3 linked regions of the Saccharomyces cerevisiae S288C genome follow. The gene in region 2 interacts genetically with the main gene of each other region. Each region holds a gene or a part of one and is shown on either strand. Other genes may lie near its edges.

Region 1 (8,236 bases), on a different chromosome or scaffold from region 2:
GGTTATAATGTGCAGCGATACAATCAGTTACGTAAAAATTTTGGATTTTATAGAGCATATTCTTCACTAAGAGGTTGTAAGAGCGTTTTCAGACGTATATAGAATAGTTTTTTACTTACCTTTCATAATGTATTATCACCCTTTTACATAATACAAGTTTTAGAAGCAGATATTTTTATTTTTTTCATTTCCATTGTTCAAAAAGAGGGATGGTAAAGTATGCTAAAAGGCATACAAAACAATTAAAGGGAAACAGGTACAGCGAAGTCTTATGGGATTCATAATGTTGTTAAGATCTAGATTTTTGAAGGTTATTCATGTGAGGAAACAATTGAGCGCCTGTTCAAGATTTGCAATTCAAACACAAACGAGATGTAAGAGCACAGATGCTTCTGAAGATGAAGTGAAGCATTTCCAGGAGCTAGCCCCTACTTGGTGGGATACAGACGGATCACAAAGAATTCTACACAAAATGAATCTAACTAGGTTAGATTTTGTGCAGAGGACTGTGAGGAACCAGGTTAAAATTCAGAATCCTGAAATATTTGTCCCTGGATTTAATTACAAGGAGTTTCTACCAGAATACGTCTGCGACAATATTCAGCGGGAAATGCAGGAAAGCATAGAGACTAATCTAGATAAGAGGCCAGAAGTGAGCGTCTTGGATGTTGGATGCGGTGGTGGCATTTTGAGTGAATCGCTCGCGAGACTAAAATGGGTGAAGAATGTTCAAGGGATCGATCTGACTCGCGATTGTATCATGGTAGCAAAAGAGCATGCCAAGAAAGACCCCATGCTGGAGGGAAAGATAAATTATGAGTGCAAGGCTCTGGAGGATGTTACTGGACAATTTGATATTATCACCTGTATGGAAATGCTAGAGCACGTGGATATGCCTAGTGAAATTTTAAGGCATTGTTGGTCGAGGTTAAATCCCGAAAAAGGTATACTCTTTTTAAGTACTATAAACAGAGATCTCATCTCATGGTTTACTACAATTTTTATGGGTGAAAACGTCTTGAAGATCGTCCCAAAGGGTACTCATCATTTGAGCAAATACATAAACTCAAAGGAAATCCTTGCCTGGTTCAATGACAACTACAGTGGCCAATTTCGCTTGTTGGATCTCAAGGGGACCATGTACCTCCCATATCAAGGGTGGGTTGAGCACGATTGTTCCGATGTCGGTAATTATTTTATGGCTATTCAGAGACTGAATTGAAATCAAACGAAAAGTAGGTATCTGACTGTAAATATCTTCTTATATAAATATATATATATACACTTTTTCACGTACAGCATGAGTTCAAAAAGCAATGGCATGGTCCTGCGTTTATTAAATGATGTATCCTTTTCAAGACGCCAGTAATTTATTCAATACAGTATCTCTTTTCCGCTTATAATGGAAAAGAGAGAAAAAAGATCAAAACGTTGAAAAATTTTTTTTAGTCATTGAGGTATCAGAAATAAAACTCAATAACAAAAAATAGTCGTAGAACAACGATGAGCAACGACGAAACTGTAGAGAAAGTCACCCAACAAGTGTCGGAACTAAAAAGCACAGATGTTAAAGAGCAAGTAGTTACACCTTGGGATGTGGAAGGTGGGGTTGATGAACAAGGTAGAGCCCAAAATATTGATTACGACAAATTGATCAAACAATTCGGTACTAAGCCGGTCAACGAAGAAACCCTGAAGAGATTCAAGCAAGTGACGGGTCGTGAACCACATCATTTTTTGCGTAAGGGATTGTTTTTCAGTGAGCGTGACTTCACTAAAATATTAGACCTTTACGAACAAGGCAAACCATTTTTCCTATACACTGGTAGAGGTCCTTCGAGCGATTCTATGCACTTGGGTCATATGATCCCTTTTGTCTTCACCAAATGGTTACAGGAAGTGTTTGACGTACCATTAGTCATAGAGTTGACAGATGACGAAAAATTTTTATTCAAACACAAGTTGACCATCAATGACGTTAAGAATTTTGCCCGTGAAAATGCCAAGGATATCATTGCTGTTGGCTTTGATCCAAAGAACACCTTTATCTTTTCTGATTTGCAATACATGGGTGGTGCATTTTACGAAACTGTAGTAAGAGTTTCCAGACAAATTACAGGATCCACTGCAAAGGCTGTTTTCGGGTTTAATGACTCCGACTGTATTGGTAAGTTCCATTTTGCCTCCATTCAAATTGCTACCGCATTCCCAAGCTCATTTCCTAATGTGTTAGGCTTGCCTGATAAGACACCATGTTTGATTCCATGTGCAATTGACCAAGATCCATATTTCAGAGTTTGTAGGGATGTCGCGGATAAATTGAAGTACTCCAAACCTGCTTTGCTTCATTCCAGATTCTTTCCAGCTTTGCAAGGTTCCACGACCAAAATGTCAGCCTCTGATGATACCACTGCCATTTTCATGACCGATACACCAAAGCAAATTCAAAAGAAAATTAACAAGTACGCATTCAGCGGTGGTCAAGTGTCCGCCGACCTACATAGAGAATTAGGTGGTAATCCCGATGTCGATGTTGCATACCAATACTTGTCATTTTTCAAGGATGACGATGTTTTCTTGAAGGAATGCTATGACAAATATAAGTCCGGTGAATTACTATCAGGTGAAATGAAGAAACTGTGTATCGAGACTCTGCAAGAATTCGTTAAGGCGTTCCAGGAACGCAGAGCTCAGGTGGACGAAGAGACCTTGGACAAATTCATGGTCCCACATAAGTTGGTTTGGGGCGAAAAGGAAAGACTTGTCGCACCTAAGCCAAAAACTAAGCAAGAAAAGAAGTAAGTAGTCACGCTTATTCTGACGCTATTATATACAATGATATAGAATCCGAAATTGTAGTTTAACACTAAAAAAATAATGCAATAGAACAATAGTGTTGCGATGTCTCCTGACCTCACTATTTCTATAGATTGGTATGAAAAATTTTTTTTTCAAATATATGGGAAAAATTTTTCACGGCATATAAAAGACTACCATCTTTCTGCATCAGTGTGCCAGACCCATTCTCACACCAAGAAGCGAGGAAGCTAACAGGCCAGTACTTGCAGGTTAGGTTTTCGTGCTCAGATGAGCAGATCATGGACTGCATTGTGCTGTTGTTGCACAGTAAATTTTGTATACCATACTTTATGATGATATTCTTTACGAACTTTTAGACGTTAGACTTCTGAAGGAGATTAGACCCTCCTATGGAAGAGAAACTCGTTAAACTTATCTGAGTAGGTATGTGTATATGCGTCTCTTGTATTATACAAATGTTCTTATTTCTTGTCCTGCATTTTTCCGAGTATTGGTAAATTCATGTAAATTTTTCATCCCATAGATCGTAATTTTGAAGTAGTGGCAAAAGATTTTAACAGAGCGTAAGATATAGTGAGAGAAACTACTCGCTGAAAAGTTGAAAGTGACCCAAAAAACGGCACGAAGACCAATTATACGCACTTTCAACACAGTTCGTCGAATCTTCACAATGGGGTTCAAGAAGCTCGTATCATTCCAACCGGATTATGTCCCACAATACCATATAACTAAATATATCTCGGAACGAACTAAACTGCAACTGGTACATATAAACCACAAAACCTCCCCATTGGTTCACGGTTACTTTGCTGTTCCTACAGAATGTCTTAATGATTCAGGTGCTCCGCATACCTTGGAGCATTTGATCTTCATGGGTTCTAAATCTTACCCATACAAAGGTTTATTAGACACAGCTGGTAATCTGTCTTTGTCTAACACCAATGCTTGGACTGATACCGACCAAACTGTTTATACATTAAGCAGTGCTGGCTGGAAGGGATTCTCAAAGTTGCTACCTGCTTATCTAGATCACATCCTACATCCAACTTTAACAGACGAGGCTTGTTTAACTGAGGTTTATCACATCGACCCGGAAAATTTGGGTGATAAAGGTGTGGTATTTAGTGAAATGGAAGCCATTGAAACTCAGGGCTGGTACATTTCAGGGTTAGAAAAGCAGCGATTAATGTTTCCTGAAGGAAGTGGCTATCGGTCAGAAACTGGTGGGCTAACGAAAAATTTAAGAACCTTAACCAACGACGAAATCAGACAATTTCACAAATCTCTGTATTCTTCTGATAATCTTTGTGTCATTGTTTGTGGTAACGTACCAACAGATGAACTGTTAACCGTCATGGAAGAATGGGATAACAAATTGCCGGAGATTCCATCGAATATACCAAAGAAAAGACCATTTTTGGACAACAAGCTTTCGCACATACCGCAATCTAGAGATAAAGTTACGGAATCTACTGTAGAATTTCCTGAACTTGATGAAAGTCAGGGTGAATTACTCTTTTCTTGGATTGGTGTTCCCTACTCAGATTTTCGTAATGACCTAGCGGTTGATGTGCTATTAGATTACTTTACTGACTCTGCATTGGCAGTGTTTACAAGAGAACTGGTTGAAATTGACGATCCCATGGCAAATTCCACTGATTGTTGCACTGATTATTTCATGAGAACCATAATTGATCTTCGTATCCAAGGTGTCCCAACAGAAAAAATAGCAGCAACAAAGACCAAGGTACTGGAGATTTTGAAAACCCATACCATTGATTTATCAAGAGTTAGACAGGTAGTTGAAAATACTAAATGGGAATATTTGCTGAACTATGAAAAAAATGGCGAGAGTCGTTTTTCTAGTGCTGTGATTACCGACTATATTTATGGTAATGAAGATGGTTCTTCATTAGTGTCTTCTCTCAAGGATTTAAGTGATTTTGATGCTTTATTACAATGGTCCCAAAAGGACTGGCAATCTTTGCTGAACAGAATATTCGTAGACAACAAACCTATCATAGTTACCGCTAAACCAAGCGCTTTGATGTATGAACAACTAGAGAAAGAAAAATCGGATTTGATCAAACAAAGAGAAGCTGAATTTGATGATGAAAAGAAACTGGTTTTATTGAAAAGATTGAACAATGCAAAAAATATTAATGATAGGCCAATTCCGAAATCTCTACTACAGAAATTTGAGATTGATAATCCTTCAAAGAGTGTTGAATTTGTCAACACGAAAAGCATTGCAACTGTCGATTCGTATAAATACAATAATGTTAGTGATCCGCTGACCAAAAAAATTTTAGAAACGAGGCCAGACAATTTTCCTCTTTTCATTCACTTAAATCATTTCCCGTCTCAATTTATAGAGCTGCATTTTTTGGTCAACTCCGCATCTATTAAGGATACCTCGCTTTTACCATATTTTAATATGTTTGACGAGCTATTTTCCATGCCAATGAAAATCCTTGATGAGGAGAGTAATGTAGAAACTATGCTCTCGTTTGAGGAAGTTGTCGCCAAGTTAAAATCAGAAACTATTGACGCACAGATCAACCAAGGTTTGAAGGGTTCTTGTCCTGACCTTATTAATTTTAAAATTCAATGTAGAGCTGGGGGTTACTCTAACTCTGTTCAATGGATCAAGCACTGCCTATTTGACATGGTTTTTGATGAAAATCGTGTTCGTATTCTGCTGGAGAATTATTTGAATTCTATTGTAGAATGGAAAAGAAATGGTAATGTTATGTTAAGTTCTTTAACTAACAGAAATCTCTATTCGGCAAGATCGCTGAAAAAATCCACCGATCCATTATTTGTTGAAGCAAAATTACAAGAGATTTTTGCAGAAATTGAGAATGGCAACTTTGAGAAAGAAATTTTGCCAAGAATAGAAACAATGAGAAAGCAACTGAGAGCAAATTTCAACAAGTTTCATATTTTGGTTCTTGGTGACATCTCAAAGATCGATGACGTTTATGAACCATGGAATCCCTTAATTAAGTGCTTGAACATTGCACATCCAGTTGAGAAGTTAAAAATTCCACCAGTTCCAAGAGCCCTAGATACCATTTCATCGATTTGCAGAACACCTGGTGAAAAGGCCTTTATAATAACTACTCCCGCCTCAGAATCTGCTTATATGAATCTAATAACGTCTATCCCATTTAACTTGGACTACCATGATCCCGAATACGCTATTGTCTCATTGGCTTCCGAATATCTAGAATGTGTTGAAGGTCCATTTTGGAAGGGAATCCGTGGTGCCGGATTGGCCTATGGTGCCAGCATGTTAAAATTATGTGAGATAAATTCTTGGGGATTCAATATTTACCGCGGCGCTGATATTATTAAATGTTATGAAGTTGGAAAACAGATTGTTCAAGATTATGCATCAGGTGCCTTGGAATTTGATGAGCAGTTAATCCAAGGTGCCATCAGTAGTATTATTAACAGGCTGGCTACTATCGAATGCGGATACTTTGAAACAGCCCTGTCCAAATATGTTGATGAATTCTGTTTGCAAAGGGGGAACAACTTCAATGAATTGTATTTGGAAAGGTTGCAGAATGTTACCAAAACAGATCTGAAAAATGCCATGCAGAAATATTTTGTCAACATGTTTGATTCCAATAAAAGCGTTGCCTTTGTGAGCTGTCATCCAGCTAAATTGGAATCAGTTCAAGAATTCTTTGAAACTCAAGGTTTCACTGTCGAAATAGAAGAGCTAGAAGATGACGATGACGAAATTGATAGTGAAGAAGACGAAAATGCGTGAGTACATGACCTCCATTTCAGCTTCACTTTCAACACAGAAACAGTGCGTATTATCTGCATTCAATAAATAGCAAAAGGAGCATTGTCTCATTCTTTTCGAATTCTGGGATTCTGCCTTACGGCGCTCTTTCATTTGATTGATCGAGAATTATTATTATATTTATATGAGTACTTGAAATTCCTCATATATTTATTTTTAGAGTATTTAAGTAGCTTGATGAAAACATTAGATAAAATTACTAATTACGACCTCTTCGATTTTGCAGATGAGTTTTTGAAATTTGTTCCTGTGTTTAGACCTAATCCCACGGTAACTTGTCTTTTTGGCAATCCGTTAACTAATTTACTGGTTAACGGTACTGGAGCAGCGTGTTTTTTTGAATTTTGTTCCTTGGCATTGATAAAGGTTTCAAAAATTCTGCTTGATCTGTTGCTCTTAGCGCTATTAATCGATTCAGAAAACGAATTGTGCTTTGAAATTGATGGAGATTGGCTATGCGTCCTGGGTTTTGGCGAAGGAGACTTGGAAGTTGGAAGATCTTTAGGTATGGCTCTTCCGGATGATGATGTTCTTCTTTCAATTACCTTTTGGTTTCTTTGCAACAGTTCTTTCTCTATTTTATTTGTATTCGAATTAAGAATTTTTTTGAGAACAGTAAACAATTTGCTCGTGGTTTTTTTATCAGTGCTCAAAAGAAATGACTTGTAAGGTGTCTGAATCACAACTATATGATTAGTTCCCATTTCCAAGGGAATGATTAGTTCTTTTATTTTGGTACCCTGTTGACGCAAATTTATGTCATATTCTAGTTCATACTTTAAATTTGTAACTGGATTTGGCTGCCTCCTCTTGGCAAATACTAGAAACCTTCCAAATGATGTCATTACAATGGTTCGTTTATAGTACTTGGTTTTTTCATCAGAGGAAGAGAGCGTTTCAGCTGCTGAGGTAGGGTGAAATAATTTTTTAATCTTGCCAGAAAAAACAGAGCTTCCTTTATTGTTAGATTCGGATTTATCATCGTCTTTCATTGGTGAGCTGTTTTGATTGCATTTGTACCCTTCTCCGCTTCTGTTAGTAAGCAACTCCGATAAGTCACCTCCTTCAATTCGATAATCATCTTCCAAGAGCTGCAAATCGATAATATTTTTCGAATAGTACGTATCTTCTGTTTTGGAATAAGCAGTCATAGTTGGATCATTTCGAAAACCTGTAACCTCTCCCCCACTCCTAGCTACTTGGGATAAAAAAGTATGTCTAGGCTTACCAAACAGTTGAGGATCTAACAATGAACCATTTAGTTTAAGCATTTTCTTCTCTAAGATATCGTAATTTGTGGTAACAAAATCCAGTTTTTCCGTCCTTAGTACATGTTCGTTGATGTTTTTCAGGTAAAAGGACCATTGAATATCTTGCTTGTTCATCAAGGGAGAATCTGTGCTATTTTTAACATTTTGCTTACTAATACAAGGCTTAGGTGCGGCAATTGCGGTATCAGAATAATCCTGCTGTTTTGTCGTATAGGGAGGTGTCATTTGATATGTATCATATGGTGTCATAGGGGGCGACATTGGAGGTGTGTATGGAGGCATTGGGACTTTTGACGATAAAACTGATGCTGACAAAGGTGGA
Region 2 (11,002 bases):
ATACAGTTCCACCTAGGATGTTTCTGATTGTTCCATTTGGAGATTTCCACATTTCTTTAAGGTTAAATTCTTTCATTCTTGCCTCATCGGGTGTTATAGTGGCACATTTGACAGCAACCCCATATTTTAGGGTAGCATAAGAAGAATCCTTTGTTACTTGATCATTAGTCCTATCACGCTCTTGGATTGAAAGGTCATAGTATTTTAAATCCACATCTAAATATGGCAATATCAATTTTTCTTTGATAAGTTTCCAAATAACTCTTGTCTGCTCATCACCGTCCATTTCCACGATGGGATGAACAACTTTAATTTTACTCATTTTAACTTGGACAACTATCTCTAAAGTGTTGCTTGTGTTTACTGCAGGTATGTGCAGGAGAAAGCTTATAAGGGGAACACTCTTATATACGAAGATGCAAAATTGGGGTAATTAATGTAAATTTAAGAATGACAAGAAGAGTTGACTAGTACACGCAACGAAATACTAATCACATTTTACTTTTCCCCTAAAAGAGAGCTCCTGCTTTTCTCTTTACTGTCCCTTTTGGTATGTTTGATTGATTTCTAATTAGTATACTTGAAATATCATTCGTTTTGTATTAAAGATTCGGCATTAAGCATGCTAAATCCGAGGAGGATCTTCCTTTATTTTTTGATGTTCTTTCTCTCAGACAATAAAAAAGATATACAAGAAAAATATAGTACGTACGTATATATGCATACATATGTAAGAGGCAGTTACACGGTATTAAACTTTAATATTTCGTAAGAGTCTTGCACTAATTTTCCATCAATTCAGCGACTGTCTTTTCACCAGCCAGAACTTGTTTCATGCTAGCCAAGATGTCTTTGAAGGTATCGAATTCATGGAATGGGACGTTTTGTTTTTTACAATAAGTGACCAAATCTTTACCTCTTTTGGCAAATAGCAAATCACATTCTTTTGCAGCACTTAGATCAGAAACACCGTCACCACAGTAAAAGTAAACGGGTCTTTGTTCACCTGCTTTCAAGGTAGATTCAAATTTCTTTTTATAAGCATCGATACTTCTGGATTTGTCATGTCCGAAGGGACTTTCATCCTTATAGATGATTTTCCATTGATCATGTGCATCGATTTCCACTTCATTGGAAACAATGTCAATTTTGTGAATAGACTCTTGTCCAACTAATCTGGTCAATAAAACCTTGATAATTGGTTTCATTCCGCTGGAAACAACGATGACAGGGACATCATTTTCTTGAGCCCATTCGAATGTATCCTTGAAACCAGGATCCAATCGAATTTTCTTTTCTAAGATCTTGATACACTCAGGGAAAGGGGTGTGGATGGATTCCAGCATTTCCATGAAACCTTGCCTAAAAGACTTAGTATCATCTAACACGCCTTCGAAGACCTTTAATCTTTTTTCCTTACCGAAACCTAAAGTATCGGTCAGATAATCGTTAGAATCTTCCAAAGTAACGGTACCGTCGAAATCGGTAAAAATAACAGCTTTGACCATTTCCCTTGTATATATATAAATGCTATGTCACTCCAGCTTATGTTATGTGAGCAAGTTTCAAGAATGTGTGCGTTCTGTTGAGATAAACAATAGAGGACACTGTATTTTTTTAATTTAAGATGATGAAAAATTATGCGATAATTTTCGAAAATTTCGCTCATTTTAGAAAAAGAGATTTGAACAGGGTACCATAGTAGAACGATAAAAGAATATGTCGTACAATGTGTTGGGTTGTTGATATCCAATAAAGAGTTTTTTTCAGCGTGTAATGCTTAGATATTATGTGGAAAGTTACTACTGTTGTATTAACCTGTTTCGTATTTCCTAAAGAACGCTAATGTGTGATGTTTGGGTTTATTTCTTAAGCTATTTAGGCGGACTATGAAAGAGAGGAAACGGAATCTTTTGTTCCCTCGAGGTAATAAGGGGACAAAATAGCAGAGTGTGGTGAGATAGTTTACTAGATGAACGTCGTTGTGTGCTCCGGTGGGACTGCCACAAATTCATTGACTCCTTGCTTTTCTAATATTTCTATCTTAAAAGGACATGAGCTGACGTATATATTGCCAATATCAGATAATGGCGGGTCCACAAGTGAAATTCTACGAATAGTTGGTGGCCCAGCAATTGGTGATATCAGATCTAGAATAGTGAGACTACTTCAAGATGAACAGCTTGTCGAGTTGTTTGGCCATAGGCTACCTAATGATAAGTTATTAGCTAAGAAAGAATGGAATGAAATAGTGGAAGGTTCGCATCCCATATGGAAAAATATTTCGATAGAAGTTAAGGAAATGTGTCGTTCTTTTATTATCCATATGCAAGCAGAACTCTTGAAAAAAATCAAACACTCGAATCCATTTCAGTTTGAGAGTGCATCCATTGGAAATTTTTTCTTAACTGGTGCTAGATTGTTTTTAGGTTCTCTAGACGCATCTATTGAACTAATGATGAGGATAGGAAGGTGCAGTCCTCTAGTTCATGTTATTCCATGTATAAATACCAATCACACACATCATATCTCGGCTTTGTTGACGAATGGTGAGATGATAACTGGCCAATCACAAATATCGCATCCCTCGAAATCTGTTCCTAAAGATAATAGCATAGCACATTCAGCTAAATTTATTCATTTACTTGGCTCTTATGACGACCATTTGAAAATTCTCCTCGACGATGAGGAAGAAGAAGCGGAAGAGGAGTATGCCAATCCTATCTATATTCTTCCAGAACTGAAAAACTCCCAGTTGCATTTTGACAAGCTTGATGAATCACAGAATCTACCTGCTCCGGTACATAGGATATTGTATATAAACCCATATGGCGAAGAGATAAAACCAATGGGAAATCCAAGAGCTATTTCCAAGGTGAAAAAAGCTGACATGGTCGTTTATTCTATCGGTTCTTTAATGACAAGTTTACTCCCAATCCTTATTCTTGGTAATCTTGCTGAAGTAATTTTGGAATCTAATAATACGAAAAAAGTTTTGCTCATAAATAATAAATATGATAGAGAGGTTTTTGGTTTAGACGGTTTACACTACGTTCAAATGATCATAGATTCTATGAGTAGGGCAATAGCAGGCTATAGGCAATCTAAGGGTGTCCATTCAGAGAATGATGACTTTGAATGGCAAGATTTTATTACTGATATTGTTTACCTAAAAAATGGTGAAATTGAAATTGATGAAACGATATTCGAGAAGCATAGTATTAGATGCCACCAGATCGCGTCTTCGGATAAGATGGAAAGTGAAGAACTTGAAAAGGTTCTGAATCAAATTGGCCTTAAAAACTGATGCAACTATGTCGCTCATTAACGGTTATTATAGTGAAGACTACATAATAAAGACATAGATAATAAAAAAGAATCGCGTTTGAACCATGTTTTATTTAACCATATGGCATAGAAGAAAAGTAAAAAAGGTGAACAAAAACTCATTAAATTTCACAGAAAAAGTCTACTCTCTTATGAGTAACAGTAGTCTTTAAAGCATTGTAAGCAAAATGGCGAAAATTTCTTTTTTCTTGGGAGCCTGTCCATTGTTCTTTTGGTTAATATACAGCCTAAGCAATTTTTATAATAAAGGTCATAATCATTGCTAAACACTCCCCTTCCAGTGGGTAACATACTGCTAACTTCAGACTGATTGTAAGTTATTTTGAATGTCGACGTATTAGATGCGTTTCCATGATTCGCATTGGCATGATAAATTATAATTGGCAAAAATGAATCATGTCCAGTTCTTTTGGTAGCATTGCATCCTATAACAATGGGGTGAGTGAATGTTTTTACATTGTTCGGAAATTGGTAATGAACGTTCTCTTCATCTAATTTTTCGAATATCCTTTTTAACTTGGAGCCGTTTGGATAGTTGTCAATATCCGAACTAGAATCCAGAACAAAAATTACATCTAGTTCCCTTTCAGGAATCACCAATGTTCTGAGTGGAATATTCTCGCCGTCTTCTCCGCCGTCTACAAGGTATAAATGATTTTTGTTAGTTAGGACATTGTCTTTTTCAGGATAAAGATAAAAGGGATTGGGTTGATATACGGCATAGTCTGTCTCTAATCTCGAGGAGTCTTTCGAAATACTAAATATTTCCTCTTTACCTAGGCCAAAAATTCCCATAACCATATTCAAAGCTTTCATTGCTTCTCTGGAGGACTGAGAAGCCAAATTCCAGATGAAGATGAGCACATTGTTGAATATTGAAGAAGACGTCGCAGTAATAAAACCTAGATCATCAAAGTTATTAATACACTTCTCGGCCTTTCCAGAAACAATTTTTGAGCCCAAATAGGGCAACTTGACGAAAAGTCTGAGGATATTTTCCCAAGATCCAAATTCAAAGGGCGTAAATTCAAATATAACGTTTGAAAGAAGTCCATTTTTGCAATTTGCAACGAATATTGGGATCGGCACACTGCATTCCTTAAATTTTTTAGACGAGTTTACAAGCTTCGAAAACGAAAAGGAATGGTTGGGATCGTCATCGAAATTTTTTTTTAGTCTTTGAACGATTGCTTTACCCCAATAATCGGTGAACGATATTTGGAAACCCTCCATTTTTTTAGGCTTAATTTTCAAATGCAAACTTTTGTAAAAGTCTAGCACTTTTTTAAAGGTTTCAATCTTCGCATCAGTTCCAGTGAAAGTGTTGTTAGGAAAGAATATTTTTTTTAGTCTTGCTAATGGATTCAAGTTTCTCTTCGTTATCATATAGTCTTCTGGGATTTCTTCTATGGAATTCATGATCTCCTCTATTTGTTCATAAAAATTTGAAGAGCTTGTAATCAGAGAACCCCCCTGACGCTTCTTCATCTTCAAATCATTATCATTATACTCCTTTTTTGCATTGGTAACAATTTCTTCTTCGGAAATATCGAATTCCGGTATGCCTAATAAAAGATCCTCTTCAAGGTCCCACTCTTGTAGCAGGGATTTTACTTCAAAATTTTGAACTACCAAATCCATCAAGATCCAACTTCCGCCTGATAATCCAGCAATATAATCCGAATATTCAAAAAGGCCATAATCGTTCATTTGGGAAATAAATCCGGTACCTACTAACATGGATCTGTACCCGCCGCCAGATATAGCAATCCCAATTTTTGGAGGATCTTTCAACACGCGTTTATAAAACTTCGAACTAAACTTTGCCTCTGTCAAGGATTTTAAAAACTGAATCAGTTTATTCTTCGTTTTAATTTTTTTTTTCTTCAGATACAAGGTTTCTTCTGGACAGAGTTCATGCTAATAAACAAAGGAATACGAAGTTTTGGTATATTCGGTTAGTTTTGGCCCATATTTGTTAAAGTGGCAAAGAGTTTAACTTACTTTGGCCTCCCTAATAAGTGGAGAGCTAGGACATTGTACCTGAAATGGTGCTGTTGCTAGTACTACTGTCAATAACACAGAAAAGACAAAGAGGAGTTTTTGCATTATTTTGGGATATTTATGTCTTTACTTAGGTTTTTTACTTGTATACTTTCTCTGAGTGCATTTACTTAAATATGGTTGTATAGCCGCTGAAGTATGTTTTTTTTTACCTTTCTTTGTGAAAATCAGTAATAGAAAATAAACATAAAAAAAATAAAAATATAAAAAAAGAATAAGGATGTTAACTTCAAAAATATATAAGTTACTCACTGAAAGAGATGTACTCGACTTCAAATTAAAAATCTTCATCAGAAGAAACGTATTCATCACCCATCTCTTTTTTCTTCTTCATTCTCTCCTTCTTTTTCTTTCTCAATTCTGCAGAAGAGAGTTTGCTTTTTTTCTTCCCACTATTAATCTTGTTACCCATAGCATCAAATTTATCACCCTCTTCTTCTTTTTTCTCAATTCTTGGGCCAGCACCTTGTCCTGCAACCCAATTATGGCCAGAGGGTGTCATTTTCCCATCCTTAACCGCCCAAACTTCGTCAGTCAGATTCTTAGTAAATTCTGCCGAATGCGTAATAATAATGACACCACCTTCAAAAGCTTTTAATGCTTTTGAAAGAGCACCCAATGAATCTCTGTCCAAGTAATTCGTAGGTTCATCTAAAACAATCAAATGGGGTCTTTGCCACGTGCAGGCAGCGAGTACCAATTTAACCTTTTGCCCACCCGATAAACCTCTAATTCTTGAATGTGAGACTAATTCTGAATCCAACCCCAACATGGCGCAATGTAATTCAATCTCTTTTCTTGTTAAAGCCCTGAATTGACCAGAAGCCAAAGCTTCCTTCATATCAATTTCAGCAACCATTTTAGAATGGGATTCAATCAATTCGCCCCTTGGTAGCCAAGCATTGTCGACAGACATCATTGGAACCCATCTTTCAGATTTCATACCAATGTTCTCACCTAACAAAAACGAACATTCGTACTCATACGTGTTTTTAAATTTCCTTCTTGAATGGATTCCTGCAACCCTTCTTGGGGTCCCTTCAATTTTAAATATTTTATTCATGGCCTCTGCGTCATTTTCATTTATTTGCCTATTTGCTCTATCCATTGTTTCCCTATCCTCACCAGTTTGGAACCTCCATTGAATGTATTCGGATGGAGTTTTGTCTAAGTGCGATTCAATGTGTGCAAAAGCGTGCTGCTTAATATACGCTATACGACAATTCTCGTGTGTATATACTTCACCGCTGGTTGGTAACAGTTCACCAGTAAGAACATTAATTAAAGTGGACTTACCAGCCCCATTAGGTCCGATAACTGCAATCCTTGAGGATAGAGAACACTGGAAAGTAACATCTGAGACTTGTGGTTTAGTTGTCCCTGGATATTGAAAAGTCATATTACTTACTTTAACAATTGCCTTTTGCTTCGTTTTGACACCTTCTAGATAACCAGGAGTTGGGAATTGAAATTCAAGGTCAGAGGCACCTAATTCATAGTATGATTGTGCCGTAGGACATTTTTGAACAAATTCTGATAAATTACCCTTGTACTTTCTTAATTTAAGACCCTCATAATGTATGATGTATTGACAAACCTTATCCAGAAAACCAGAATCATGAGAGACAATCACCGATGTAATTCCGCAAGTATTCAAATAATTTACCAGCCACTCCACATTAACAGTGTCTAGATGATTTGTTGGTTCATCCAATAGTAGAATGTCAGCGTCCTTCAGAACAGCCCTCGCCAAAGCTAATTTCATTTTCCAACCTCCAGATAGGGATGCAATTGGCATTTCTATCATTTCATCGCTGAACCCAAACTCCTTTAATTTCGAGGTAATAACATCCTTAGTTCCTACATTGCCGGAATATACAAAATCTAAAACGGACATGTCCGAATGTGTATTATCGATATCGTGTTCCACATAAACAGTGCGACATTCATCCTGAGTGGGGAACCCGTCAACTTGGCCATTAGCAATGGATCGCATTAGAGTGGATTTTCCGGCACCATTAGGACCACATAGACCATATCTCCTACCTCGCTTCAACCTCAATTGAGTCTTGTTTAGTAATATTTTGGCACCATATGCCAAGGAAAATTCACAATTACACAAATCTTCACCCTCATCCTCTTCGTCTTGGAAATTCGGTCCAACTGGAATATTATCTACTGCCCTTTTCCTGAAATCGTCTAGTATTTCCTTTGCAGTTTTCTCATGTAAAAATATAGTCATATAAGGTGTAACATGTGTAAACCACGTTTGCTGATCAATGATCCTTTCATCAATTAGATTTGCGGCAATCGCGGCTATGTACTCAACCACAATGGTGAACCTTGGGGCCACTTTTTCAGGTTCCAGTAATTCCTTGATGACGCCCAGTGTTGTGGAAACATCACCAGCATGCGATATTTCTGGTAACACATCATCTTCCCCGACATTACCCACACGTCTCAGGGTTTTTAAAGCTTTTAATGTAACTTCACGCGCTTCAGGATCAGCAATAGTAGCAAAATTGTTCTTTAGCCCTGGTAGTAGTTTACCTAAGAATGGAGCAACAACTTGCGGGTCTTCAACCAATTTACACATATTATCGATAATAACCGCAGCTTTACGTTTTATAGAGGTTTCTCTCTCGGCTAAACCTCTGCTCAATAAAGGAACCATAATAGACAAAGTCGCTGGAGTTACTTCGGCTACAAAAGTAGTTGCACCCAAGAGATGAACGGTTTCAGGCACCTCATTTGGATTTGCAATACATTCGATTAATTTTGGAATAAATCTCTCAATATCCTTATTATCAACAGTTTCAGTTGCCTTTGTGATGGTTGTCGTTGCCGCCTCCTTAACTCCTTTCTTAGTGTCCCACATGGATTCCGAAAGAACGGGAATTAGTTCCGGCATTCTTAAGGCAATCTGTTCTTTAGCGGCATCTACCAATACAGAGATTACTTCGAGAACAGCAACCTTCTCTTTCCACTTGTTGCTAGTTTCCAGCGAATGAATCAAATGAGGTAAGAGTGCTTTAACGGCAACCGGGTTAACAGCACTAGCGATGGCTTTGAGGGCCTTTGTTGCCGCAAGTTGAACATCATTATCTTTACTACCAGCTTTACTGCATACAGAAGGGACCGTCGCAACTATGTACGGTTCAACAGAAGGTGATAGATTAGTTTCATTTGCTATGTAAGCCACCGCACCCAGCGTGTTGAGCGCCTTTTGTTTACTCTGGATAGCTTTTTGAAATTCATCAAAAAAAACTTCGGGAACGTCATGCTCGATGATGTTCCCGTTTAAAAATGAGGAAAGCTCCGAAGAAATACCCTCTCTTGTTTCTGAAGTAGCAGTTTCCAACTTTCGGAAAAGCTCTTCTAGAACGGTGATTGATTGTTGTGAATCTGACATTTTGTGATTCCTTTTTTTTATTTATTTTTGGTTTAAAAGGCTCTTTTTTTGCACCACACTATCTACCCTTCTCTATTAGATTGAAAAGAAGAAGGAATTTCTGGCGCAAAAGTAACTGGAGAGGAGGACAAAAGATATATATATATATATATTTAAATGGATATATATATATGCACATATATATTATCCAGAAAAGTAAAGCAAAATGTGAATGGAAAAGAGAAAGAAGAAAGAAACAAGTGGAGAAAAAACTCAAATTGTTAGAAGAATATACCCATTAATAGCGGAAATCAAGGCTATTCTTTTGTGCAAGCGCATCGCTCCCCTAAAAGACATCCAGCCGCGCAATGCACGGGCCGCGACCTTGAAAATTTAAAAGACCACTTCCTCAACACAGTTTAGCTCTGTTAATGACAAGGCAAGGAAAGCAAGATGACCAGAAAAAGAAAGTCCCGAGACACATCTTAGATGCCAAAGAAATGGCGCCACAGCAGTTATAAAAGAGCGTTAAAATTGAACAGGAGCAACGATTTAGACTGTCATAAATATATTCGTATATATATATGTATATATATATATATATATATATATATATATAGGACGTGCTCTGCTGTTTTTTGGTGAATTATTATAGTAGACGAGAAATAAATTTACAATCGGGGAGAGAAAATTTCCGAGTAAAAAAGTGTTTGCGTTTATCTCAGGAATCAATTTGTATGAACTTCTTTGTCTTCTTCGACGTTCTCGATGACATCATTGTGCTTTTCCTTCAACTTGTTCAAGTGGAGAACATCTGGTACCTTGATGGTGTACCCTTTAATGATGTCGAATTCGTGTACAATAGAGCCACCTGCGTGATGAACTGAATCCAAGAACTTCTTAGCTTCCACATCTGGAGTGTTCTTTTTCAAAGTGACGATGAAATTCTTTGTCATTATGGACCTTGTTTTTTGTTTGTATATTTAAGATTACCTTCTGGTTACCGTTCAATTGGTCTAAACGGAATCTCTGCACCTAACATAATGAAGCCAGAATTTTTTATATGTGCCATATATATTGCATTGAAAGAAGTTCCCGATGCTCTGATATGCCCCCTTTTTCCCGCCCCATTTTATTTTTTGGGCTATGCAAGATAAAGAAAGACCAAGAGCTCGGGGATGCGTGGTATTGGTCCGTTTCCTTTTGGGAAAGATGCCAGCCACAACCTGCCACGTACGCGATTCGAAATGATTCGGGCGTGCATATGAAGCTCTTGGAAAAAAAATAAGGGCTGGATAGAGGGAAAGGAGGTGTTTGGCAGACGAAGTAATATCATCTAGGTTTTTGATATTTGGCGTCGCGACTTTTTGGTTGTCATTTTCACAACCTTTCCCTAAAGAAAGAAAAGTCCTGTGGAACCAGCCGGGTTCCTGTTAAGCTGCCTTTTTTTTGGTCTTAACAGCCATTCTTTTGTTCGAAACACAGTTCCGTACTTAATGAGAACGTTGGAGCAGCGTCACGGGTGCGCAGTGGTAGTGGCTGTTGCCTTTATGTGCCTGGACTCAAGACTGACATGTCTCCATAACGCTAGGTAGCATTTTTATATACTTAACAAAAGTTGTAAAAAATAAAAACAAAAATTATATATATGGACTCGACAAAATACAGTGGGATGGATGTTTAAAAAAAATAGGGTAAGAAAGGAAAAAGGAAATATAATAAAGAAAGCCTTCAGAAAATACGTTCTTTATTTTTATCACACTATTAGCAATGACTTTCACATTTTAAAGGAAAATAATAGTATTAAAAATTAAACAGTGACGAAGGAAGGAAATAAGACACAGAAAAACTAAAAAAATAGAGTAAGTTTATAGGCCCTTTTATTTTTCGAGCAATAGTAAATTGAGTTTCTTCTTCTTTTTCTCTCCCTTTTTCGTAGTAATTTTTTTTTTAAAAATAGTATAATATAATGAATGGATTCTTGTCGTTCTTTTTTTATTTTATCTTGGGATTTGTAGGTTGCCTCTCTTTATTCTTTCTTTTTGTTTCATTCCACTTTTCTTCATAATATTTATTGTTGTTGCTGCTGTTGCTGCTGTTGCTGTTGTTGCTCAGACATAACCGGTTGTTGTTGGTCATTCATTATAAGTGGCTGACCGCCCTGTTGCTGCTGCTGTGGCATAAAATTTGATCTTTCCT
Region 3 (9,898 bases), on a different chromosome or scaffold from region 2:
ACTCCAAAGACCCAATTGGAGAATAGCGACAATTTTGAGGAACAGAAGGAAACACTTTACGAAAATAGCGAATCTAGAAACGATCCCTCGCTTGATAAAGAAATTGTCACGGCAGAGCACTATCTGAAGCAATTAAAAATAAATTTGAAAGAACTTGAATCTCAAAGGGAAGAATTAATGAAAGAGATCACTGAAATGAAGTCTATGAAAGAGGCTCTACGCCGACATATTGAATCCTATAATAGCGAGAAAAATAAACTATATCTTGACTCCAATGAATTATCAAATAATCCACCGATGATAAATGAAATCAGCTTAGGTGAGTCGCCACCCGTGAAACATGTTGCAACTGCAAGTTCTGTAGCGCGAAGTTCTGTTAAACCAAAATTTTGGAAGTTTTTTTCATCTGCAAAGCCACAGACCGAGCAATCTATACAAGGTGTCAGTACAAATAATACAAATTCCATCGTTAAAAGTGCCCCAGTTTTGCTTTCTGCTCCCTCATCTGGTAGTAATTCCGGCCGTTTAGAAATTTCACCACCTGTGCTACAAAATCCTAATGAATTTAGTGACGTTAGATTAGTACCTATCGAGAACGATGCAAATATGGGACAAAGTAAAGATGGAGAAGAATATTTGGATGGAAGCAATTTGTATGGTTCAAGTCTCGTTGCTAGGTGCAATTATGAAAACAATGAAATACCGATGATACTATCTGTCTGCATAGATTTTATTGAATCAGACGAAGAAAATATGAGATCGGAGGGCATTTATAGAAAATCAGGTTCCCAGCTAGTCATAGAAGAAATAGAAAAGCAATTTTCTGCATGGAAAGTACAACAAAATACCGAAACGCCAAATATTTTAACGGAACAAGATCTCAACGTTGTTACTGGTGTGTTGAAGCGATACTTAAGAAAGCTCCCCAACCCTATCTTTACCTTTCAAATATACGAGCCGTTGATGAGGTTAGTTAAATCTAAAAAAATGATGGAAAACTTGCCATTTGTTGGAGGAAAGTTGTCCTTAGAAGCAAAGAATTCGGACACTTATATGTCGAGCAAGAGCGCTTTAAAAAACATATTGGAAGACCTTCCAAGGGAACATTATAGGGTGTTAAGAGTACTGAGTGAACATATAGAAAAGGTTACACGGTACAGTCACTGGAATCGAATGACGCTTTATAATTTGGCTTTAGTTTTTGCTCCAGGTTTGATTCGTGATTTCAGTGGAGAAAAGGATATTATTGATATGAAAGAAAGAAACTATATTGTCGCATTTATATTTGGGAACTACAAAGATATCCTGACGTAGCGCTATCCTCGGTTCTGCATTGAGCCGCCTTATATGAACTGTATCGAAACGTTATTTTTTTAATCGCAGACTTAAGCAGGTAATTATTCCTTGCTTCTTGTTACTGGATATGTATGTATGTATAATAAGTGATCTTATGTATGAAATTCTTAAAAAAGGACACCTGTAAGCGTTGATTTCTATGTATGAAGTCCACATTTGATGTAATCATAACAAAGCCTAAAAAATAGGTATATCATTTTATAATTATTTGCTGTACAAGTATATCAATAAACTTATATATTACTTGTTTTCTAGATAAGCTTCGTAACCGACAGTTTCTAACTTTTGTGCTTTGACAAGAACTTCTTCTTCTTGCTTTAATAAAAACTGTTCCATTTTCGTTGTATAACTTGAATCATAAGCGCCAAGCAGTCTGACAGCCAACAGCGCAGCGTTCGTACTATTATTAATAGCGACGGTAGCTACTGGAACACCTCTAGGCATTTGCACAATTGAATGTAAAGAATCTACTCCATCTAGACAAGAACCTTTTACGGGCACACCGATGACAGGAAGTGGTGTCATTGCAGCCACCATACCTGGCAAGTGAGCAGCCCCACCAGCTCCAGCGATAATTGTTTTAATTCCACGCTTGCTTGCGGAAATAGCATATGCTGACATCCTATGTGGAGTTCTATGAGCAGAGACTATTGTCACTTCAAATGGAACGCCAAAATCTTTTAAAACCGCACATGCGGCAGACATTACCGGCAAGTCAGAGTCTGATCCCATGATGATTCCAACCAATGGTTTGACCATTGCTTCCAAGTCCAACTTTTGAGCGACAGAGATTTTGATTGGAATATCAGTTCTACCTGTAATGTAGTTCAGCCTTTGTTCACATTCCGCCATACTGGAGGCAATAATATTTATGTGACCTACTTTTCTGTTAGGTCTAGACTCTTTTCCATATAAGTACACTGAGGAACCTGGAGTCGCCAATGCTCTTTCGCAAGTTTCTAGCTCTTTATCTTTTGTATGTTTGTCTCCAAGAACATTTAGCATAATGGCGTTCGTTGTAATGGTGGAGAAAGATGTGAAATTCTTTGGCATTGGCAAATCCAATATTGATCTCAAATGAGCTTCAAATTGAGAAGTGACGCAAGCATCAATGGTATAATGTCCAGAGTTGTGAGGCCTTGGGGCAATTTCGTTAATAAGCAATTCCCCTGTTTCTAAATAGAACATTTCCACACCAAATATACCACAACCGGGAAAAGATTTGATTGCATTTTCTGCCAACAACTTCGCCTTAAGTTGAACGGAGTCCGGAACTCTAGCAGGCGCATAACATAAGTCACAAATATTGTCCTTGTGGATAGTCTCTACAATTGGGTAAGAAAACACTAAACCGTTAACAGATCTCACAATCATGACTGCTAATTCTTTAGTAAATGGTGCCCATTTTTCGGCGTACAAAGGACGATCCTTCAGTACTTCCAAAGCTTCCGGAATCATTTCCTTATTCTTTACAACGAAGTTACCTCTTCCATCGTATGCCAAAGTCCTCGACTTCAAGACGAATGGAAAACCCAAATCTCTTCCAACATTCAATAGGGACGTCTCACTGGCTTGTTCCACAGGAACACTTTGGGTAACTGCTATACCATTTTTGATTAAATGCTCTTTTTGAATATATTTGTCTTGTATCAATCTGATTGTTTCTGGAGAAGGGTAAATTTTTAATTTGGGATGTTTTACTTGAAGATTCTTTAGTGTAGGAACATCAACATGCTCAATCTCAATCGTTAGCACATCACATTTTTCAGCTAGTTTTTCGATATCAAGAGGATTGGAAAAGGAGCCATTAACGTGGTCATTGGAGTTGCTTATTTGTTTGGCAGGAGAATTTTCAGCATCTAGTATTACCGTCTTAATGTTGAGCCTGTTTGCTGCCTCAACAATCATACGTCCCAATTGTCCCCCTCCTAATATACCAACTGTTCTAGAATCCATACTTGATTGTTTTGTCCGATTTTCTTGTTTTTCTTGATTGTTATAGTAGGATGTACTTAGAAGAGAGATCCAACGATTTTACGCACCAATTTATACATGAAATGCTCCATAATATTGTCCATTTAGTTCTTAATAAAAGGTCAGCAAGAGTCAATCACTTAGTATTACCCGGTTCGTAGCCATGCAACAAGAGTCATTTGTCAGCATAGCTGTAATAATCAATCATGACGTAAGAAATGTATCATAATTAAAAGTTGTTAAAGATGTCAGTGTTATGTTGGTGTTACAAAATTCTCGGCTTCTCACTAATATTTAATATCTCTTAAATTTTATCTGTCTTTGATTCTTTTAAGAAAAGTTATGTATTATTCAAGAAAAAGTCAATTCCGCATCAAAAGGTAAAATTTATATAAACTGCTTTAAAATTTCATGAAACTAGGCAACTTTTCGAAATGATCTTTTTCGAGCATGAAGTTTCTTTTATAATAACCTGGTCAAAAGCTTTCAATATATAATACATTTGGTATTTACGGAAATGAGATGATATACTGGTAGTGCGCTAGTCAAGTTCTAATTAAATTAAAATGCAAAATAGTAATGTCAGATGGACACATTGGGCGAAATAGCTAACCCATAAGCATGAATCCTGTAACTTATGTAATACGTTAATCACGATACGGCGTTACTAGTCTTCCTTTTGAGTGGTTTCTAATGTAGATTCTTGTTGTTCGTTAATTTGCTTCAAGCCGTTTAGCATTCCTGATTCGTTTGAAGATAGAGGAACAGATGCGCCAGCGAAAGATGATGATGCAATGGTAGAGGAAGTGTTGGTCGAATCTCCCTTTTTGGAAATAAAGTGTCGTTTTGATTCTAGATAGGCTTCTCGCAATTGATTGTGGAGATACTTCTTTAAAAGGGCCATACCTATGGGATGACATTCTAACCTATAGAGTAATTTCGTAATAGCATAGCAGATTTTTGACGCCCTTCTTTCTAGTAGAGGAGAAGCCCTTAGCTTGGGTGAGATGACTGAGGATGCGTTTGTAAATTCGGGATAATTGGAATTTCCAGTACCCTGCCCATTACCTCCCAGAATCCTTATATTAGGGCGTGTACTCAGTTGTAAAAACTGTCTCAATGAAGAAGATTGAGCAATTCTGGTCAAATACGTTCTTCTCCTGGACAGAGATTTTGTGAAGGGCAAATCCTGCCCACTTTCTTTTGTAATAAATGTGAGGAAAAACGCCAAGATATCAAAACTGTAAATTTGAGTAAAAAGATCTATTGCTGATACTATAACACCGTGGGGATCTTTTTCGATGCCCATATAGCTGTTAAAATTATCGAAACCCTGACGCACTTCGCTTTCAAAACTCCACCTAGAAATATTATCACCGTGTAACTGAGCTGTGGGTAATATTTTGAACGGAGAATAGTTCAAACAAGCGTTTAAAAACTTCTCAATGTTTGTCCTGCTTACCGATACCATGCGAAACAGCTCTTTAACAATGTCCAATATTTGGCTTAATTGGGAATATATTTGCTCTGTGGAAAATAACTGGCATGTGTTTCCTAAGCTAAATAAACAATTATCCAAGTTAGACAATAGTTCAATACTATGCAGTGTAAAATAATCAAAGAACTCCGGGAAAATGAAAAAATCTTTATAAAACATGATATATTCATCTTTTAGTGCTATATTAGGTGGAATTTCTCGTCTTTTCAAAGCGTCCAGAAGGTTTTCCAACTGAAGAACATTCAGCCTTCTCAAAACGCTCATGATAGTATCACTATCATGATATTCGTCGATAAGAAGAGAAAAGAGCTTCTGGCCCAAGTTTACCTGACTTTCGTTGACTGCGTTGGTTGAGAAATGAGGCCTATTGAATATCTTTCTCAAAGGGTTAGGCCCAATCTTCACTTCTGCCACTGTATCTGGCTTTTCTTTTTCTGGACTATTATTTTCATAAAACACTCCCTCATCCACATCGTAGTAATAATCCCAGATATCTAACTGGTATCGGAAAATTGGATTGGCAGTTCCGATAATTGCAAAGCATCCGACAAAATCACTATTCGATGCTACATACGCCCGCAAACCGTCAACAAGAGAAATGTCCATATAGGGAAAAATCAACGCAGCATTTCCTTTGAAGTATGATTGTGGATCGCTAGCATAAGTTGCCGTTATGTTGGCTAATGACAAAATAAAAGCGCATAGGTCTTCTTTACTCAGTTTAGTTGAATTGATGACTAACTTCCATGCATTAACTTTTTGTCCGGCTTTAAGAAGGTAAGGGACAAATTTATCCAAAAATTTTAAAACTAGTTCATTATAATCATTTTCAATATAAATAGGCTCTCTTCTAATCATATTAAATTGCAATGGGATTTTTAACAAAAATGGCGGGAGCGTCTTTGGCTGAAATCTTGTAAAATGATATTGAATGAGTTGGTCATGAAAAGTCACAATGTTACCATACTTGTCCTTAGTGTCAAATCCATTGATGCAAAAGAGTTTCTTTAAAGTGGAATCCGGGTCTAAAAATACTTTGGTAATGATAGATTCGTCATGGATAGAGTGTAGCACTTCTTGTATACTACTTTTGGAATGTATGTCATTAATCAATGTAAGGTCAATACTGTTTAGCATATTAAAGCAATCAAGCAGTATGTCTGTAGCAGCAGCTTGAGTGGGAGCTTTCATATACAAGTCTAACACTAATACAATAATATTTTTGAATGCAAAGAAGGTTTTTAATGGTGTTCCGATGGCAATCGACTTGATTACTGCCCCTCTATCGTTCGTGGTGTCTAATACTGTGTTGGCGACATTTATGAAAAATAAAGGTTCGTTGTCGATGGCTTTCTGATTATTCTGAACTTCCTGGCATTCGAGCTCATCATCTTCCAAGACAATAGTGTATCTATTATTTTTTGCATCTTGATGATTTTCGGCATCGTAATATATGCTATTGGTAACACTACCATCTGACTGTTCACGATGATGCAGATTGAAACTGAAACGAGGGTCTTTTGGCACAGGAAAGAGTTGATAGTTTTGAGTAAACTTATTGTAATAAAGGGTAAACACTGTAATATCTTGTTTGCCGGGATTTCTCTCTATGCTACTCGGTATCATTAAACTTGCCAAGTTCATAGACACCGACGTATTGCCGTTGCGTTGCTCATGTGAGAACTGATTGAAACCTGGAATATCTTTCGGGTATTGGTGCTTCAAAATAGGACCTAATTTATTATCAAATTCTGCGGATATTATATAGCTGACATTCGGCCTTTCAAAAGGAAAGGATTCATTTTCTATCGACCTGTTGCTGATAGAGTTATTTAGTTCTCTTCGCAACATCCGGTAGCCAAAAATGTTTGCGTACCAAAGACTCTAACAGTGGGCGGTACTATGCTTGATCTTGATTTTATAGAGCTTGCACTTTTATAGAAGAACCATTGCTACCTAGACAGTTTTTTTTGTTTACATTCGAATCATTTTTTTTTTTGCATTTAGTTAAATCCGAAGTCCTGACTAGATAATTTACTGTCAGAGAATAGTAGCATCTATGCAAGAAACTGGTATACAATAGTCGAGAGGTTGTTGTAAAAAACACAAAATACTAACACAAAGCCTGGCTGTTGAGATTGTGCGACATTCTTGATCAGTAAATGGTATTACAGACTGTCTATCAATGTTACATACTTGCTTATTACACGATTTATTGTATTTAAAGTGCAGAAAGAGTCTCAAAGATGTAAAAAACTGCAGCGTTTGCTGGTACTGCCCTAAAAAGGGTTATACCCAGTCCTCGATAAAAACCCTTTAGTCCAAATTTGCCAAATATCTTCTTCACCGCATTGGTGAGGCTTATATGTTCAGTTTGCATTACTGATTTCACAGTATCCGCAGGAAAAATACTGGCGTTGAATGCCAATCCAGCGCTCCCTCCACTAATAAGTAGTTCCCATATCTTACTTTCATCTCTTTTTGGGTCATCAAGGGAGTGCCTATCTTTCAACGACTTCTTAACTATTTCGTAGGTTGCAAACCAGGCAACACCACCGAAGCTTTCTCGAATAAAAGTGCCCGATTGCCCTTGCCACAATCCTGCCAATCCTCTCTCAGTTATAATTGCTTTTATTGTAGGCAACACCTTTGTATGTTTCGTTTTAGCTGATGCAACTTGTAAGTTCGCAACCTGCAACTTACACTTCACCAGCTCCACGGGTGTCAAAACTAAACTAGCACATGAACCCGCTACTCCACCAGAGATCAGGATTTGCCCCAACGGGGAAACGTTTGTATGTTTTTCTAAAAATTTAGAACATTGGTTATAAGACACAAATAATGTCGCGTTCTCCAGACATGCTCCAACTAAAGGTGAAGCAATGCCTTGAAAAAACCCTCGTGCTATTCCTTCATTTTGGTAAGTAAATTTTATACAAGACCATGTTGTTGGGAACACGTTGGATGCTTGTGTTTGCAACCTGACTTTCACAGTATCGAAAGGAAACTCGATCACCTTACCACAGGCGCCTGCAATGGAACCGTTTATTATATCGAGTATAGCGCCTTCTATTAATCCTTTCTTTTTACTGTCCTCCATTATACGTTGACCTTCCAGAATTTGAGTTCCCTATAGGTTAAAGAAAAGTTTCTACGACAAAGCATCTACGCTTTAACAATTAACTATACCCGTGCTTCGATAATTTCACACTTTTCTGAATCTATCGACGCCAGGAGCAGAGAACTTATCATTGGCGATTCTTGACGCTGCGGCCACAGCGGCCACAGCGGAAAACGTATATGTCACATTTTTCGAGCTCAAGGTGAGTCACGATGCAGAACTGGAACGTACTAGGACTAAGTTGCAACGATGAAACTACAATGCTACGCTTTCTTCGTGCTAAGTACTCATTGTATCCATTAATATGGTCCACAAAAAGGGTAGGCTGCTGTTGTGCTTCATTAAGACTGGTCAAAAACACGGATCCAGCAGCAACAGCACCTGCATGGATGGAATAGGATTGGTGCTAAATCACTTGGAATTAAACACAAGGATTTTGGTCGGCAATATTATATAAATATAGTCAGATGAGTGCTTCATTTTTGTTGATAAGTATTAATGAAGATTAAGTGTGGATAATACTGTCTTTGATACTATACATTTAATGTGACGAATTGTATGACTCGTATACATAACTACCAAAGCGTAGATCTTTAACTTATTTTCAGCACTGTCCGAAATGCTCAGTTAGCAGTTTAGTACATTCACGTTAAAACGTGTATGTTCGAATAAAAATCAACTCACTCATCGACTGATATTCATACTACTGGTATATTGTCATACGGTGTAAGAAGATGACATAAAATCGAAAAACAATGGTAAAGTATAATGGCAACTGAAATGCAAGGATTTGATAACGTCATAAAATGATGAAAAATATAAAATGGAGGGAGAAGTAACAGGTACGTAGAAATATTGGTTCCCTTTATGGATCCCTATATCATCGTGCAGAACTTCTCGTATATTCGATATACCTAAATTATAGCCCTTAACAATAATGAAATCCTAACGATTATCCCGAAAATTCACCTATTTCTCAGTATATGAAATGTACATTAACGTAAACACTCATCTTGCTACCATCATTATTTATATTGACATTAATGATCACTTGCTGCAACATTTTTTTATTTTTTCAAATCATATGAAACAAGTATTAATAAAAACACCGTTAACCCAACAATTAAAATCCGTGATAGTTTAATGGTCAGAATGGGCGCTTGTCGCGTGCCAGATCGGGGTTCAATTCCCCGTCGCGGAGATTTTTTTGCTGATTTGATGTGTTCTCGAACTTTGTGATGCCGAAAAAATCAAGGTAATTCCGCCATAGCTACTATATTAGCTCTAAAAAACATCTAAGAATAAAATGGTATTTCAATCATATGTACATATCTAAGTAAAGTTTTTTTTTTTTTAGAAACTTTCTTTATTCATATTTTGAATCAATTCAATTATTTCGGAAAGATCCTCTACTGAAACGTCTACTAGTTCTTTATGTTCGAGCAGTAAATGTCCATTCACATGATTCTTGAGTAATACCGTGAAACATCCAGCAGATCTACCGGATTTCATGTCGTCAAATGAATCTCCTACCATGATCATTTCCAAGGGCCTTATATTTAGCTTCGAGGCGATGTGTAATAATGGGTCTGGTTGCGGTTTTGTAGGCCTAAACTCCCTTGTCACAATATAGTCAAACCTCGAAAGCTCGGATGGAATAAATCTTTTAACAAAAGTCTCTACCGGGGCTCCGACATTTCTAGTACATATGTTCTTGCTAATACCATTTTTCGTCAAATACCTCATTATGTCAACCAGACCAGGCTGCGGTTGCATCTCCTTCATGGCTTTTGCCTCAACTAATTCTATTCTATCATGCGCTTCTTTTTTTTCTTTTTCTGTGGGCAATGTATCAATGAAATGAAGGATATCAATCGATTTGTCCTCCAATCCTATGGCGTTTCTCATTGCTGGAAACATCCAAGGCTGGGGTAGGCATAATGTGCCAT

Evidence for each region.
Region 1: mutations in PYP1 (region 2) and WRS1 together harm fitness more than expected from each alone (negative genetic interaction), as found in Saccharomyces cerevisiae (one large-scale study listed by BioGRID).
Region 3: mutations in PYP1 (region 2) and AFI1 together harm fitness more than expected from each alone (negative genetic interaction), as found in Saccharomyces cerevisiae (one large-scale study listed by BioGRID).

Annotation. Positions count from the first base shown.
Region 1 is NC_001147.6:131,093-139,328, reverse strand, and holds WRS1 (tryptophan--tRNA ligase WRS1), read left to right. Parts: upstream 1-1,503; coding exon 1,504-2,802; downstream 2,803-8,236. Other genes in the region: HMI1 (ATP-dependent 3'-5' DNA helicase), read left to right, coding at 1-102; COQ3 (hexaprenyldihydroxybenzoate methyltransferase), read left to right, coding at 284-1,222; YOL097W-A (uncharacterized protein), read right to left, coding at 2,924-3,109; SDD3 (Sdd3p), read left to right, coding at 3,491-6,604; serine/threonine protein kinase PKH2, read right to left, coding at 6,847-8,236.
Region 2 is NC_001146.8:604,141-615,142, reverse strand, and holds PYP1 (putative phosphoric monoester hydrolase), read right to left. Parts: upstream 1,509-11,002; coding exon 783-1,508; downstream 1-782. Other genes in the region: isocitrate dehydrogenase (NADP(+)) IDP3, read right to left, coding at 1-322; YNL011C (uncharacterized protein), read left to right, coding at 1,973-3,307; SPO1 (putative carboxylic ester hydrolase), read right to left, coding at 3,478-5,268, 5,353-5,457; HEF3 (translation elongation factor EF-3), read right to left, coding at 5,690-8,824; PBI2 (Pbi2p), read right to left, coding at 9,532-9,759; PUB1 (Pub1p), read right to left, coding at 10,875-11,002. UniProt on the Saccharomyces cerevisiae protein: Hydrolyzes sugar alcohol (polyol) phosphates. Dephosphorylates a variety of substrates, including: sn-glycerol 1-phosphate (D-glycerol 3-phosphate), D-ribitol 5-phosphate, D-sorbitol 6-phosphate (D-glucitol 6-phosphate), and D-erythrose 4-phosphate.
Region 3 is NC_001147.6:562,880-572,777, forward strand, and holds AFI1 (Afi1p), read right to left. Parts: upstream 6,680-9,898; coding exon 3,998-6,679; downstream 1-3,997. Other genes in the region: GTPase-activating protein RGA1, read left to right, coding at 1-1,314; phosphoribosylaminoimidazole carboxylase ADE2, read right to left, coding at 1,597-3,312; ORT1 (Ort1p), read right to left, coding at 7,050-7,928; YOR131C (putative haloacid dehalogenase-like hydrolase), read right to left, coding at 9,303-9,898. UniProt on the Saccharomyces cerevisiae protein: Involved in actin patch polarization. Required for maintaining a proper budding pattern in yeast cells. Required for proper polarized localization of the ADP-ribosylation factor ARF3 at the plasma membrane.